Linked DNA regions of Anolis sagrei. The protein of the gene in region 2 purifies or fractionates together with the protein of the main gene of each other region. This does not show direct contact. Links are inferred from orthologs where the notes say so. Each region holds a gene or a part of one and is shown on either strand. Other genes may lie near its edges.

Region 1 (3,750 bases), on a different chromosome or scaffold from region 2:
TTTGGTCCAGATCCTTGTTTGAGTCCACAGTACTCTCTGGATGTAGGTGAACTACAACTCCAAATCTCAAGATCAATGCCCACCAAACCCTTCCCATATTTTCTGTTGGTTATGGAGTTCTGTGTACCAAGTTTGGTTTGATTTCATCGTTGGTCGAGTTCAGAATGCTCTTTGATTGCAGGTGAACTATAAATCCCAGCAACTACAACTCCCAAATGACAAAATCAATTTTTTTTGAGTGAAGGACATACGTTAGGTTGTTAGGTGTCGAAATTTGGTGTCAATTCTTCCAGTGGTTTTTGAGTTCTGTTAATCCCACAAACAAACATTACCTTTTTATTTATATAGATTGCTCTTAGGATCAGATCCTGGGATATAGGGCCTGTCTGGAAGTGTTATGGGCAAGCAGTTGTTTCTTTCTAGGGCTGCAGAATTAATGCAGTCTGACAAACACACACACACAATGAACTGCCATGAATCTACAAACTACAAGAGAGGAGATTCCATCTGAACATGAGAACTTCCTGACTGTGAGAGCCGTTCAGCTTCCAAAGAAGGAGCCTCCACCACACTCCGGGGCAGAGAGTTCCACTGCTGAACGGCTCTCACAGTCAGGAAGTTCTTCCTCGTGTTCAGATGGAATCTCCTCTCTTGTAGTTTGTAGATTCATGGCAGTTCATTGTGTGTGTGTGTTTGTCAGACTGCATTGATTCTGCTGCCCTAGAAATAAACAACAGCTTGCCCATAACACTTCCAGACAGGCCCTATATCCCAGGATCTGATCCTAAGAGCAATCTATATAAATAAAAATGTAATGTATTGTCGAAGGCTTTCATGGCTGGAATCTCTAGGTTCTTGTGGGGTTTTTTTTTCGGGCTATAGGGCCATGTTCTGGAGGCATTTCTCCTGACGTTTTGCCTGCATCTATGGCAAGCATCCTCAGAGGTAGTGAGGTCTGTTGGAATTAGGACAATGGGTTTATATATCTGTGGAATGGCTGGGGTGGGGCAAGGAGCTCTTCCCTGCTGGAGCTAGGTGTGAATGTTTCAACTGATCACCTTCATTAGCATTTGAAGGCCTGGCTGAGCCTGGGAAAATCCCCTGTTGAGAGGTGTTAAGATGTAATGTAATGTTTGTTTGTGGGATTAACAGAACTCAAAAACCACTGGACGAATTGACACTAAATTTGGACACCTAACAACCTAATGTATGTCCTTCACTCAAAAAATTTGATTTTGTCATTTGGGAGTTGTAGTTGCTGGGATGTATAGTTCACCTACAATCAAAGAACATTCTGATCCCCACCAAAGATGGAATTGAACCAAACTTGGCACACAGTTCTCCCATGACCAACAGAAAATACTGGAAGGGTTTGGTGGGGTGAGAGCCGTTCAGCAGTGGAACTCTCTGCCCCGGAGAGTGGTGGAGGCTCCTTCTTTGGAAGCTTTTAAACAGAGGCTGGATGGCCATCTGTCAGGGGTGATTTGAATGCAATATTCCTGCTTCTTGGCAGGGGGTTGGACTGGATGGCCCAGGAGGTCTCTTCCAACTCTACGGTTCTATGATTCTATGAATCTTGGGGGGAGGTGTTTGGGTCAAGGCCTTGCAAAACTACAGCTCCCAGGATTCCAGAGCCACGGCAGGAAGAGCAAAAGGTTTCACCTGAGGAGAGGCCCCTCCCTCCCCAGCTCCGTTTCCCTGGCAACCGCGCCCCTCCCTCCCCTGCCCCCCCCCCCGCACTCACGATGGTGACGCTGGCCTTGCGGAGGTCGCGGTTCTCCTCCTGGAGCGCCTTGCACTTGAGCTTGTAGGTCTCCAGCTCGATCTTGAGCACCTTGTTCTCCTGCTGCAAGGAGGCCAGCCGGTTGGTCAGCTCCTCCAGGCGGAAGGGAGAGATCACGATGCCGCCCGCCTTGGGGGGGCCCGCCGAGGACGAGGTCGCCGCCGAGGAAGAGGAGGAGGAGGACGGCGAGGAGGACGGGCAGCCCGGCGGCGCCGCCCCGCCCGGAGCCCCCACGCCGCCCCCGCCGTCCGTGTCGCTCTCGCTGGCGCTGTCGGCCATCCTGGAGGGAGCGCGGGGCCGCTCCGAGAGCGCCTTGGGCTCGGCCTCGCCTCCGCCTGCCTCTTTCCCTCGCCTCGCCTCGCCGCTCCGCGGGCTGCAGCCAGGGCCGGAGGAGGAGCTCGCCGCTGAGGAGAAGGAGGAGGAGAACCACCACTGCGCATGCTCCCGGCGCCTTGGGAAGCCGCGCGCGCTCGGCGCCGAGAAGCCAAGGCCGGCGCCGCCTCGCGCCCGCCTCGCGCCCTACCCACAGCGCCGCCACCCGCCAATGGTGGCACTGCAGCACCAGCTCCGCCAAAAGGAGACCTCAGACATCACCACCACCCAGGCCTGTAGCGAGGGGATGGTTTTAGGGGTTCAACCCCCCCCCCCGAAATGTTTCAATTTTTTTTTAAAAAAACCTGCTTTACTCATGAATTTTAACTGGTTAACCAAATCCCCATGCTAAGTCTATGAAATGCAAAAAATTAAGAGTCCCTCCAGAACTGTAAGCACTATCTCAAGCAAATATTGACAATTTATTCACACTGTCATTACTTGCAGCAATAGCCGATGTAGTGAAGCAACCAAGTTGGGGTGTGTGTGTGTGTTGAATGCTCTCATTAAGGAGGCCAGACTTGGTGGAGGTGGTTGACAGGGGTGGAGCAGGCTATTGAAGGTTGCTCTGCCCTCTGCTGGAGTCTTCCTTGTAGGATCTTGAGCATTACCTTACTGGCATGAGAAATAAGGGCCACTGTACGGAAGTTTGAGCAGTCTTTCGCATTTCCCTTTTTTGGTATGGGGATATAAGTTGATTTTTTCCAGTCTGATGGCCATTCTTGTGTTTTCCATATTTGCTGGCAAATGGCATGCATCACCTTGACAGCATCATCTTTTAAGATTTTAAACAGTTCAGCTGGGATCCCATCATCTCCTGCTGCCTTGTTGTTAGCAATGCTTCTTAAGGCCCATTCAACCTCACTCCTCAGGATGTCTGGTTCTAATTCATTCACCACACCGTCAAAGCTATCCTCGATATTGTTATCCTTCCTATACAGATCTTCTGTATAGTCTCGCCACCTTCTCTTGATCTCTTCAGCTTCTGTTAGGTCCCTGCCATCTTTGTTTCTTATCATATCAATTTTTGCCTGAAATTTACCTCCAATGTTTCTAATTTTCTGGAAGAGGTCTCTTGTCCTTCCTATTCTGTTGTCTTCTTCCACTTCCATGCATTGCTTATTTAAAAATAGTTCCTTATCTCTTCTGGCTAACCTCTGGAATTGCGCATTTAACTGGGCATATCTCCCCTTTTCACTGTTTCCTTTTGCTTTCCTCCTTTCTTGGGCTACTACCAGTGTCTCAGCAGACAACCATTTTGCCTTCTTGGTTGGTTTACATGGAGCGAGAGTTGCCAGATGTTCAAGCTGGGTTTAGAAAAGGCAGAGGAACGAGAGACCAGATTGCCAATATCCGCTGGATAATGGAGAAAGGCAGGGAGTTTCAGAAAAACATCTACTTCTGCTTCATTGACTATTCTAAAGCCTTTGACTGTGTGGATCATAATAAATTGTGGCAAGTTCTTGGTGGGATGGGCATACCAAGCCACCTTGTCTCTCTCCTGAGGAATCTGTACAAGGACCAAGTAGCAACAGTCAGAACTGACCACGGAACAACAGACTGGTTCAAGATTGGGAAAGGCGTACGGCAAGGCT
Region 2 (3,750 bases):
CCACCCCCATTTTGAAATACATTTGCATACATGCACAGAATGAGATGTCTTGGAGATGCAGCCAAGGCACAATTCATCGCTGTTTCATATACAGCTTTTAGACATAGCCTGAATGCAATGTTATACCCAATTTTTGTGAAGAAAACAACATTTGTGTGTATTGTACCCTCAGAAAGCAAAGGTGTCAGGATCTCAGAGAGCATACACTGTGGAATCAGTGCAGTCTGACACCATTTCAACTGCCATGGTGCAAAGCTATGGAATCATGGGAGTTGTAGTTTGGTGAGGCACCAACACTCTTTGGCAGAGAATGCTGAAGATCTTGTGAAACGACACCTTCCATGATTCCATAACATTGATCCACGGCATTTTCAAGTGGGGTCAAACTGTATCTTGAGATTCGTGGGCTGGCAAAAGTTTCAGGATCTCAGAGTGCATACACTGACACCATTTCAACTGCAATAGTGCAATGCTATGGAATAGTGGGAATTGTATCTTGGTAACACTCTCTGACAAAGAAGGCAGAAGATCTTGTGAAATTGCCACAGCTCAATCCTATGGAATAATGGAGGTGTAGTTTTGTAAGGCCTTTAAGCCTTCCCTGCCGAAGAGTGTTTTTGGTGCCTCACTAAACCACAAATCTCAAGATACAGTTCGACTCCACTTGAAATTGCCATGGCTCGATACTATGGAATCATGGGAGGTGTAGTTTTGTAAGGCCTTTAAGCCTTCCCTGCCGAAGAGTGTTTTTGGTGCCTCACTAAACCACAAATCTCAAGATACAGTTCGACTCCACTTGAAATTGTTATGTCTCAATCCTATGGAATCATGGAGGTGTAGTTTTGTAAGGCCTTCCCTGCTGAAGAGTGTTTTTGGTGCCTCACTAAACCACAAATCTCAACATACAGTTCGACTCCACTTGAAATTGCCATGGCTCAACACTATGGAAGGTGTATTGTCGAAGGCTTTCATGGCCGGAATCACTGGGTTGTTGTAGGTTTTTCCGTGCTATATGGCCATGTTCTAGAGGCATTTTCTCCTGACGTTTCGCCTGCAGGGGTGATTTGAATGCAATATTCCTGCTTTTTGGCAGGGGGTTGGACTGGATAGCCCATGAGGTCTCTTCCAACTCTTTGATTCTATGATTCTATGCAAGCATCCTCAGAGGGTGCTTGCCATAGATGCAGGCGAAACATCAAGAAAAAATGCCTCTAGAACATGGCCATATAGCCCAGAAAACCTACAACAACCCACTATGGAAGGTGTCGTTTCACAAGATCTTCGGCCTCCCATGATTCCATAGTAATGAGCCATGGCAATTTCAAGTGGAGTCAAACTGCTTGTTAAGCTTTGTGGTTTCAAACTGTATCTTGAGATGTGTACTTTTGTGAGGCAGCAGAAACATTTTTCAGCAGGGAAGGCTTAACCACCTTACAAAACTATACCTCCCATGACTCCACATCCTTGAGCCATCTACGATGTGGAACTAAAGCACAGATTGGCATGGAAGGAGTTGTAGTGTAGTGAGGCACCAGCAGTCTTTGACAGAGAAGGCCTTGCCAAACTACAACTCCCAGGATTCCACAGATTGGCATGGTAGGAGTTGTAGTCTAGTGAGGCAGCAGCAGTCTTTGAAAGAGAAGGCTAAAGGCCTTGCCAAACTACAACTCCCAGGATTCCACAGCCTTGAACCATGGCAGTTAAAATGGTGTCAGGCTGCATTCCTTCTATTGTGTAGGTCAAGTATGGGCTAAGTTGGGCCCTTCCGGTGTTTGGACTTCAACTCCCACAATTCCTAACAGCCTGAGGCTGTTAGGAATTGTGGGAGTTGAAGTCCAAAACACCTGGAAGGCCCAACTTGGCCCATGACTGGCGTAGATGCACCCTCAGCTAGTCAGATAAGGGATGCTCAATCTATAATAATAATAGGGATTGATGGGATCTCCCAAGTACACCAAAGCGAAGCCCAGGCCTCGTGTCCCCCATTCCTGAGGGCAGTGTCCTCTTCCCTTTCCGTATGACCTCAAGGTAACCTGGAACCCTCTCCCCAGAGCCAACCAACCCCCACAACCCTCTCACACACCTTTCAGTGCCTCCTGCAGCCTCTCAACATCCATGGTCCGCAGCTACCTCTTCCTCCTCCTCCTCCTCCTCCTGCCCCTCGGGCCCTCACACAAGGAACAGGCCTCCAGAAGCAGCACAGGGGAGATATTTCTTCAGCCTCAGCCACTCCGAGAGCGAGAAAGAGAGAGGGGAACGACCGAGAGGCGAAAGACTCCCAAGAGAAAGGAAAGAGAGAGGAAACACACACTCAAAAAGAGAGAGACACAGAGAGAGAGGCAAAACCCCCGGCGGCCGGGCTCAGCAACCTTCCAACATGGCGCCCAAGCCGCCGCCGTGCGCGCCGCCGCCGCCGCTTGCTGCGCGCGCACGCACGCAAGCACGCACGCACACCACACCGCGAAAAAAAACAAGCTTCGCCTCTTCCCGCCGGCACGCAGAGGCGCGCGAGGAGAAGGTGGTGACGTCACAGCCCGAGAATGATTGAAAGCCTGAAGGAATAGCTCGAGTTGGGATTGGCCGAGAGAAGTCTTCCTTCTTTTTTTTTTTTTTCAAACTGACTTTTTCTCTCTGCTCCGCCCACTTCGGGTGACGTCACGCTTCGGTGGAAACTGGATTCGAGAGGAGATGCCTTCTCTTTTTTAAGTCCCGCCCACTCCCGGTGACGTCACGCTTCGACTGAAAGCCAGGTTTCTTCCTTTCTTCATTCAGTCTGAGGAGAGAGAAGAGAGAAGGTGTATGTTTTGAGGGAGCCCATGAGGTGAGACTGTCGACGCCTTTCAACATACATTTGAGCAAAAAGTTAGATATTTTGACAGCAACTTTGATATAATTGTGGCAAGTAAGCATGAGTGCATCTACACTGTACGTTTAATGCAGTTTGGCACCACTTTTAACTGTCATGGCCTAATGCTGTGCAATCCTGGGAGTCCTTCTCTGCCAAAGACTCCTGATGCCTCACTCAATTATGACTCCTAAGATGCCATGGCAGATAAAGTGGTATCAAACTGCATTAATTCTACATTGTTGATCAGACATGGGCAAACTTGGGCCCTCCAGGTGTTTTGGACTTAAACTCCCACCATTCCTAACAGCCGGTAATGTTCATTTGTGGGATTAACATAACTCAGAAACCACTGGGCGAATTGACACCAAATTTGGACACAGGACACCTATCAGGCCAACGGGTGACCATCACTCATAAAAAACACTGAAAAACACAGCAGAAGAGACTTAAAAAGCAAAAAAAAAATTACAATGCATGCACAAAACCACATATATACACAAATATATACACACACAAAACATACACAGCAACTCATGGCAGGGAACGGCTAGTACCACTAATAAAGTATTTTATTTTATCAGAAAAGAAATCTAATATCACTTTTAGCCTTTATTTATTTATTTGTCATGTCAGGACAACCAGTCAAATTATATTACATTTCTAACAAAACAAACAGACAAAATACAGAATGTGTGTGTTTGATGGTTGATTAAATGTCCTTTGACCAGTATCTGGCCACTGGGAGTGCTTCTGGTGTTGCTGCAAGAACGTCCTCCATTGTGCATGTAGCAGGGCTCAGGTTGCATTGCAGCAGGTGGTCAGTGGTTTGCTCCTTTCCACACTCGCATGTCGAGGATTCCACTTTGTAGCCCCATTTCTGAAGGTTGGCTCTGCATCTCGTG

The links. Proteins that work in one complex are often made in the same cells at the same time.
Region 1: the proteins of PPP4R2 (region 2) and CCDC6 purify together in Homo sapiens (co-immunoprecipitation; 3 studies listed by BioGRID and IntAct, counting the BioPlex papers as one, with this or other methods). This does not show direct contact. The link is inferred for Anolis sagrei from reciprocal best matches to the Homo sapiens genes PPP4R2 and CCDC6.

Annotation. Positions count from the first base shown.
Region 1 is NC_090023.1:164,696,601-164,700,350, forward strand, and holds the start of CCDC6 (coiled-coil domain-containing protein 6), read right to left. Parts: upstream 2,290-3,750; 5' UTR 2,063-2,289; coding exon 1,745-2,062; intron 1-1,744.
Region 2 is NC_090022.1:40,802,009-40,805,758, reverse strand, and holds the start of PPP4R2 (serine/threonine-protein phosphatase 4 regulatory subunit 2), read right to left. Parts: upstream 2,416-3,750; 5' UTR 2,118-2,415; coding exon 2,084-2,117; intron 1-2,083. UniProt on the Homo sapiens protein: Regulatory subunit of serine/threonine-protein phosphatase 4 (PP4). May regulate the activity of PPP4C at centrosomal microtubule organizing centers.